2 linked regions of the Cricetulus griseus genome follow. The protein of the gene in region 1 purifies or fractionates together with the protein of each later gene. This does not show direct contact. Links are inferred from orthologs where the notes say so. Each region holds a gene or a part of one and is shown in the gene's direction. Other genes may lie near its edges.

The links. Proteins that work in one complex are often made in the same cells at the same time.
Region 2: the proteins of Hsd17b10 (region 1) and Trmt10c purify together in Homo sapiens (co-immunoprecipitation; 3 studies listed by BioGRID and IntAct, counting the BioPlex papers as one, with this or other methods). This does not show direct contact. The link is inferred for Cricetulus griseus from reciprocal best matches to the Homo sapiens genes HSD17B10 and TRMT10C.

The regions. Positions count from the first base shown.
Region 1 is NC_048604.1:107,497,221-107,501,411, reverse strand, and holds the start of Hsd17b10 (3-hydroxyacyl-CoA dehydrogenase type-2), read left to right. Parts: upstream 1-1,391; 5' UTR 1,392-1,504; coding exon 1,505-1,531; intron 1,532-1,888; coding exon 1,889-2,053; intron 2,054-2,936; coding exon 2,937-3,101; intron 3,102-3,217; coding exon 3,218-3,346; intron 3,347-3,609; coding exon 3,610-3,718; intron 3,719-3,887; coding exon 3,888-4,078; 3' UTR 4,079-4,191. UniProt on the Homo sapiens protein: Mitochondrial dehydrogenase involved in pathways of fatty acid, branched-chain amino acid and steroid metabolism. Acts as (S)-3-hydroxyacyl-CoA dehydrogenase in mitochondrial fatty acid beta-oxidation, a major degradation pathway of fatty acids.
Region 2 is NC_048597.1:36,042,973-36,046,900, forward strand, and holds the start of Trmt10c (tRNA methyltransferase 10 homolog C), read left to right. Parts: upstream 1-1,128; 5' UTR 1,129-1,313; intron 1,314-3,572; exon of another isoform or gene 3,573-3,707; intron 3,708-3,928. UniProt on the Homo sapiens protein: Mitochondrial tRNA N(1)-methyltransferase involved in mitochondrial tRNA maturation. Component of mitochondrial ribonuclease P, a complex composed of TRMT10C/MRPP1, HSD17B10/MRPP2 and PRORP/MRPP3, which cleaves tRNA molecules in their 5'-ends.

The DNA.
Region 1 (4,191 bases):
CCACACATAGTGGCCACAACCTTTGGGCGTGGTTTCAGGTGTAGATGTTACTCATTATAAGATAGAGGAGGGGCTGGCCCGAGCTGTCTTGGTTATGGAGAACATAAGGAGACTGCATCTTCTGGAGCAGGAAGATGGCGGTGGTTATTTACTCTTATCTGTGTAAGTGCTTCCCTAATAAATACCTAATTATCATCTATCTTGGGTCTGGTGGAGTCATTTAAACCCCGCCTTCACCTCAGCACTTAGGGGCAGAGGCAGGTGAATCTCTGTGAGTTCGAAGCCAGCCTGGTCTACAGAACGAGTTCCAGGACAGGCTCCAAAAGCTACACAGAGAAACCCTATCTCAAAAAACCAAAAATAAAATAAAATAAAGATTGTTAATCTGGTGCTAAATCCTTTGATAAAGTAGTGAAAATCAATACAGGTATGCTGGCTGTCAACAACTAGGAGTCCTTGAGGGAAGTCCATTGGAGAATACTTAACATAGAAAAAAAACATAATGCAATTACAGTCAGAAAGTGTAGGCTGAGATTGGTGGGCCTGAAGACTTTGGGTTGAGGAAAAACATAGATGGAAGACAGATTAGATGTCCATCCTAAAGATTCTAATTTAGATACTAGTGAAAGCTCTTTTAGAATGACCAGAGACCTGAGTTTTTAACAACAGGCTGTGGATGAGGTCCAATCTAGTGTTCCATCTAGGCATCGAACACAGGAACATAGTAAAGGCTGAGGTGATGAAAGATGCCCTGGAATACCTGTTTTGTTATCCCCTCCACCCACAAGAATCAAGTGTGATCCTGTCTGACCTCTCTCCTTGCCTAGACATATTTGTCTCTGTTGCTGCTGCTTCTCTGTATCTCAGAAGCTTCTTTTTCTTTTCTTTCTTTTTTTTTTCACTCTCCTCAGCTGAGTATTCTGGAACCTGCAGTTGGGCTATTTGTAGCTGTTTGTAGAGTACTTGTTTAACGGGTACAGGGCCTTGGAGTTTGCTTCCATTACTGAAAAAAAAAATCTGGTTCTCTGCCCCTTTCGTTGTCTGTCCTGTAATTTCGTCTTTCTCCAAATGAACTGTGTCCTCCTGGGAAGTATGGACCTGTTACTCCTCTTCTGTGTATCCGCAGTACCCGGTAGAACCTCGCAGATAGGAATCGGTTTCACTTATACTTGAAAAGTTTTACTGAGAAAGGGACTCAGTTTCTGGCGTCCTCTGGTGGAGGTGGCTGCATGCCAAATGGTTAGCTAGAGAGCGGGGTGAAGGGGTGGTGATACCATGCAGGTGCCACCAGGTTGTTTTTACAAATAAAACGTTCCCTAGTCTGAGTCCTCGCCTTTCCCCTTTCCAAGGTCCCTGCGCAGCAGGCTACGCCCCTCCCCTCCCCCCTACCGTGCGCAGCCGCTGCTCCCCGCCCCAGTAGGCGTCTCTATGCCGGCCAATCAGCGAGCGCATGTGCAAGAGGGACTAAGTAAAAGCCCTCCTCTGGTGGCGAGACCGGTGCAAGATGGCTGCGGCGTGTCGGAGCGTGAAGGTAGACTGCTCTGTGCCTCTAACGTTTGTTTTTACGCAGGCTAGGTTAGGACTGCGCTGGCATGAACTAGAGAGGAGAGATCGGTGCCTGAAGGAAAGGGTCCTGCTTATCCGGGCCTGGGTTTGTGGTGGTTGGGCTCAATAGGTGAACGTCCAACTGCATGTGTGTGAGGGGTCACAGAGAAACTCGCGTGGGATGAGACACACACCCCCTCCCCCGCCGCGTCAGCGGTGTGGAGAGGAAGCACACTGGAGTCACTGACTGCCCCTGCTTCTTCGCAGAATTCAGGAACTGGCAGGTGAAAGGGTGGGGGTGGTTTGGACATTAGCAGTTCGTTTCACGTGTACCTCTTCACAGGGCCTGGTCGCAGTAATAACTGGAGGAGCTTCGGGCCTTGGCCTGGCTACGGCCGAAAGACTGGTGGGACAAGGGGCCACAGCTGTGCTTCTGGACCTACCTAACTCGGGGGGTGAGGCCCAAGCCAAGAAGTTAGGAGAGAGCTGCTTGTTTGCCCCAGCCAACGTGAGTCAGGACTTTACCGGAGTGTGCATGAGGAAACTTGGAGGGGGGAGGGTTGCTCCTAATTACTGCCTGGGTTCAGTCAGATGGTTTAGCCGGTAAAAGCACTTGCTGCCATCCATAACAACCTGAGTTTGATCCCCAGGACCCACATGGTATAAGGAAAGAACAGACTCTGACCTCCACACATGTGCTCTGGCGCAAACATGCCTGCACATGCATACAAATAAATGTAAGGGTGGTGAGTCCATCTCTCTTCATCTTTTGACCTGAGTCCCTGAGCACATAACATCACCTGCAGTAAGAATTCTAACACCGGGGCTCAGCATAATGGGCATGAGGACTGGACACACCAGGATTTCCTGGAGGAGATATGAACTGTTGGAAATGCCTATCTTGCCCAGTGATTTTATATTTACAGAGTTTACAGAGTTGAAAAACCTGAACTCAGCAGGAAGGGGTTTAAAAAAAAAAAGATCATGTTCCTGGGAGTAATTCTGCAAACAGGGTTGTATTGGAATATAGCTTAGTGGTACAGTTCTTGCCTAGCATGTGGGAGACCCTCAGTTTGTCAATTCTGCAAAAGAGAAAAAGCAAAACAAGTTTGTATAGTGCCCCAATTCATAGCAGCTGAGAATTACCAGGGGCTTATCACTCCAAAGAGAGTATAAATTTGAAAAATGCTTTGCAATACTTTTCTATAGTTCCTACCATTTTTCCTTTCACTTGTTTTTATCACAACTCTCTCTTGGCTTTCTTTTGCTCACACAGTTCTGTTCCTATTCAATTCTGTTCCCATTCAAAGACTGGGCTTCCCTACTCTCTAAGTTTAGTGCTCTGTGTATGCCAGGAAATGAATACCTTCCCTTCATTTCTCCCTTTCAAGGTGACCTCTGAGAAGGATGTACAAGCAGCTTTGACTCTAGCAAAAGAAAAGTTTGGCCGCGTAGATGTGGCTGTCAACTGTGCAGGTATTGCAGTGGCAATTAAGACATACAACCAAAAGAGGAACCAGGCCCATACCTTGGAGGACTTCCAGCGGGTTCTCAATGTAAGGCCTTGGCAGATCTCCAGGGGTAGGAATAAAAAATGTCTGGCTGTAGGCACTCAGCTTTTAAGCAAACAAAAGGCCTTACATCCTACATCGTGGTTCTACCCACCCTCTAGGTGAATCTCTTAGGCACTTTCAATGTCATCCGCCTGGTCGCTGGTGAGATGGGCCAGAATGAACCAGACCAGGGAGGCCAACGTGGAGTTATCATTAATACTGCCAGTGTGGCTGCCTTTGACGGTCAGGTATGTGGATGGGGCAAAGTTCTTTTTTTGTTTGTTTGTTTGTTTTTTTTGTTTGTTTTTTGAGACAGAGTTTCTCTGTGTAGCTTTGGAGGCTGTCCTGGAACTCACTCTGTAGACCAGGCTGGCCTCGAACTCACAGAGATCTGCCTGTCCCTGCCCCCTGAGTGCTGGAACTAAAGGCATGTGACACCAACGCCCATCGATTGGGGGTTGCAAAGTTCTTGTGGGGGCTCTCCCACCTATGATCTCCACTCTTTTTCCAGGTTGGACAAGCTGCATACTCTGCATCCAAAGGGGGTATAGTGGGCATGACACTGCCCATTGCTCGAGATCTGGCTCCCTTAGGCATCCGTGTGATGACAATTGCTCCAGGTAGACATTTCTTTCTCTTTTTTTGCCATACTTAGAATTGGGTGGGATATGTAGGCAGATGGGAGCAGATACCCACTACCTAGGTATCAGCAGCTTAGCACTAAAGTGAGGAAGTAGCAGGTAACTATGAAAACAAGACTGAACCTTTGATTCTGGTGCTCTTGTCTAGGTTTGTTTGCCACCCCACTGCTTACCACCCTTCCAGAGAAAGTACAGAACTTCTTGGCCAGCCAGGTGCCCTTCCCCAGCCGACTAGGTGACCCTGCTGAATACGCTCATATGGTACAGACCATAATTGAGAACCCATTCTTGAATGGAGAGGTCATCCGGCTTGATGGGGCCATTCGAATGCAGCCTTGAAGGGTGGCAGCAGGAAAAACACCAGCTTCTTTTCAGCTTGAAGGAAACCGAACAGCCATTTTGTAACTCTGCTCCAGTCACCCTCTGTGCCTAATAAACTCTCAAACTTACAA
Region 2 (3,928 bases), on another chromosome or scaffold:
AAATGTTGCCTTTCCTCTAGCAATGAATTATTGATTTTTACTTTCAGTGGTTACTGATATGGAAGGGACTCTGGCTAGATGGAGCATGGTGAGCATGGATGGCTCTGGCAGGCCTTACCCTTCTCTCCCATCCCCTCTGCCTTGCTAAAAAACCATTAGATTACCTTCCTAAAGATAGCCATCAAGCTCTATTTCCTTGTCTGGCCACTTCCTCCCCCTGAGGCTGAATACCAAGGTCCAGCTATGGAAGTATTAAAGTCCAGCAATCAAAACCCCCTTTGGCCCGGCGTTGGTGGACCACGCCTTTCATCCCAGCACTCCGGAGGCAAAGACAGGTGGATCTCTCTCTCTCTCTCTCTCTCTCTCTCTCTCGTTTTGATTTTCATTTTTTTCGAGACAAGGCTTTTCTCTGTGTAGCTTTGGAGCCTGTCCTAGAACTCTGTAGAGCAGGCTGGTCTTGAACTCACAGCGATCCACCTGCCTCTGCCTCCCAAGTGCTGCCACCAAAGCCAGGCTTTTTTTTTTTTTTTTCCTCTCTTCGTAAAGATTACACCAGCAAAGGTCATTTGCTGGTTTTCTGCCTGTGTTGGAAAGCAGTCCCCCGCTGTGTGTGTGTGTGTGTGTGGGGTCTCCTTCTTGTCTCAAACGCTATTGAACAATCTTTTTGTTTGTTTTTGTTTTTTTTTTGGGGGGGTTTACTGAGACAGGGTCTCCCTGTGTAGCCCTGGCTGTCCTGGAACTAGCTGTGTACATCAGGCTGGCCTCAAACTTAAGCGATCCCTCTGCCTCCCTGGTGCTGAGATTAAAGATAAACTTGGCTAGAATTAAATTTTAAAGTAGAACTGCAGGATCTGCGCTCAGGTCGCTTTGTTAGGACATACATACAAACACAGCAGCCGAGCTGAGGACCGGTTAAGGGGATTCGAGTTCTAACAACTAATTAGTAAGTAGGGTGACGGGGCGCCGATGACCAGCGCCGGCCTTGGTCATTTTCACAAGGGCTCACTGGCAGACCGCGGACCGACTTCAAGCTGGGAAACCGCTGGCAGGGACAAACGTCAGAGGCAGCGCCGAGAGGACGAGGCGGGACTTCCGGCGGTGCCGGATTTCCGGCGGCCGCAGCGGAAACCCCCGGCTCCGCTTCGGCATGTGCGGCGCACGGTAAGGCGTGCAGGGGAGGCGCCCTCGCCCAGTTCGCGAGTCCCCGCGTTCGGCCGCATTCCTGGCCCACGGGCTTCCCGCAGCCGGTGTCCTCGGCCTGCGTGGTTTTCCCGGATGCAGGTTGTGGAGCGTGTGTGTTAAGCTGTGATTTTGTAAGTAATACACTGCCTGAAGCAAAGCCGGGCTTACCAAAATTGTCTCCGCTATTTGCTTTAAAATGTAAGTTATGCGGGGCTGGAGAGACCCGGTCAGCGTTTGAGACGTTTAGTGCTCCTGCAGAGGCTTGAGCATGGTTTTCAGCACCCACTTTGTAAGTTCACAACTGTGTCTGTAACCCTGGCCAGGTGACCTCGTGCCCGCGTACATAATTACACACACACACACACACCTCTTTAAAAAGAAAAATTAAGTAGGTTTCCGTAATAAGTGTGGCCAGTGGAGCCTGAGGCAGGAGATCTGTCTGGAGTTTGAGGCCAGCTTGCGCTAAAGAGTGGAGAATCTGCAAAAATTATTTTTCTTTTTTTTTTAGGCTTTAATTTCTGTACTATTACAAAATCTTTCTACACTGCAAAGGCAAAATTCAACTATTTTGTTTTTATAATTTTTTTTTTTTTTGAGGCAGGATCTCATGGGATTAGAGGCCTATGCCACCACACCTGGCCCAAGATAATGTTTTTGAAATCCCTTTGTCAAATTCAGGTCCTGAAGATCCTAAGCTAAATATTTCTCAAAGTTCGGTGTCAGTTTCTTGTTTGTTTGTTTGTTTTTTAAATCTTTAAGGTTTGAATGTTTTTTTTAAAATGGTTTCTCAAGACAGGATTTCTCTGTAACAGTCCTAGCTGTCCTGGAACAGGCTGGTCTTGAACACACTGACATCCACCTCCCAGTTGCTAGGTCTGAAGGTGTGGGAGACCACCACCTGGGCTGGGTTTTGGTTTTGGTTTTTTTTTTTTTTTTTTGGTTTTTCCAGACCAGGTTTCTCTGTGGCTTTGGAGGCTGACCTGGAACTAGGTCTTGTAGACCAGACTCACAGATATCCACCTGCCTCTACCTCCTGAGTGCTGGGACTAAAGGCGAGCACACCGCCTGGCTTGGTTTTTGTGTTTTGAGACAGGGTCTTACTGTATCCCTGGCTGGCCACAAACTTAGAGATTCATCAGCCTCTGTCTCTGGAGTGTTGGGATTAAAGGTGTGTGCCACCAAGCCTGGCTCTGAACATTTTTTAACTGTGAGAATGAACGTTTAACATAATCCTTATTGTAATGGAATATAGTCTTTAGCTTCTCGTGGGGAAAACAAATATTAGAGTGTTGCAAGCATGGTCATAGACACAGGGTGCTGTGAAAACTAATAGGACTGTTGAAAGTGTGAAATGGTAAAGAGATGTACAGCTGAAAAGGCAAAGGAATGCTATTATGAAAACCTGCTTATAAGCCACATTAATGAACTTGGTACTTATCGGGACATAAAATTATGATTATTTGGGGGTGGGAGGAGTGTATCTGGGCATCTGCACAGGCCAGAGACAGCAAGGACATTTAGGAGTGTGCAAGGAAGCTAAAGGTTGGGATTTTTTCAGTAATTTTCTCTTTCCCCTCACATTTTGCATCAGTTAACAAACTAAGCATCTTCATTGTCTTGTGGAAGGAACATATAGGTACTTAAGATAAAATTATGGAGATACACACACACACACACACACACACACACACACACACATACACACACACCAATTTTGAACATTTTATCTTACAATATTTGCTATGAAGTCTGAGCTGAAACATTTGTTTTAATCAGCTGCTCTATATTTCTGTTTTGGAAGCACAAAAACATCTGTGGCATCTCTTTATCTTTTATTAGGTGTCATCTTATGTAACTTCCCTGTTTATTTTGTCTTCCTCCTTTTTTGTATTCATGAAGGATCTTGAGATTGGATATGTATGTGAAGGAGACTACAGTATCTTGTAGTTACAATTGTCTTATAACTTTCCTATCTAGTTACATTGATCCTCTAGGCCTGTTTCTATAACAAATCTAAAAAGGATATTTGAGTCAACTTTTGTTTAAAAATATGTTGAAATTCATATGTAAAATAAAAACATGTGGTGATACATAGCTGTAGTGCCAGTTATTTCAGAGGCTGAGACAGACCACTCAAGGTGATGTGTTTAAAATTAGCCTGTTCAACATAAAAGACCCTTGTCTCACAAAAATAAAAAAGTTAAAAATTGACCAGTAAGTGATCACAACAAGTTTTGGACCATAGGAGTTAAATTAGTGGAGAGGGGCTGGGAGGAGAAGGGGCAATGGAAACTGCAGTTGGGATGTAATATGTGAGAGAATTAAGTTAGTGATGTGCAACATCTAAGTTGTTCAGAGGTTTCCCTTTGTGCTTCAGAAATCAGTTGCTTCTGCAGCCAATGAAGCCAACCAGGTTCCTTTCCCCATGGGGGTCTAGTGTGCAATAGTTGCAAACACTATCCTCCTTGGTGGCATATGCAGCTTATTGAATGCGCAGGCTGCCCAAAGGGACCTTGGAGACAGTTTTCAGGTGGATAATCATGTGTTATCTCAATGCTATTTCCACCCTAGGCTCTAGACAAGTACTTGGAGGTTTCTCTGAGATGTCCTAGGCCCAGTGGCCAGAGTTTACATTGGTCAGACCATCATGTCCATTCACACCAAACTGCAGAATAAGGAATGTGTGAGGTTCTGTGTTGAGCCAACTTCAGTTTTTCTGACAGCTGGAAGATCACATCTTAGAGAA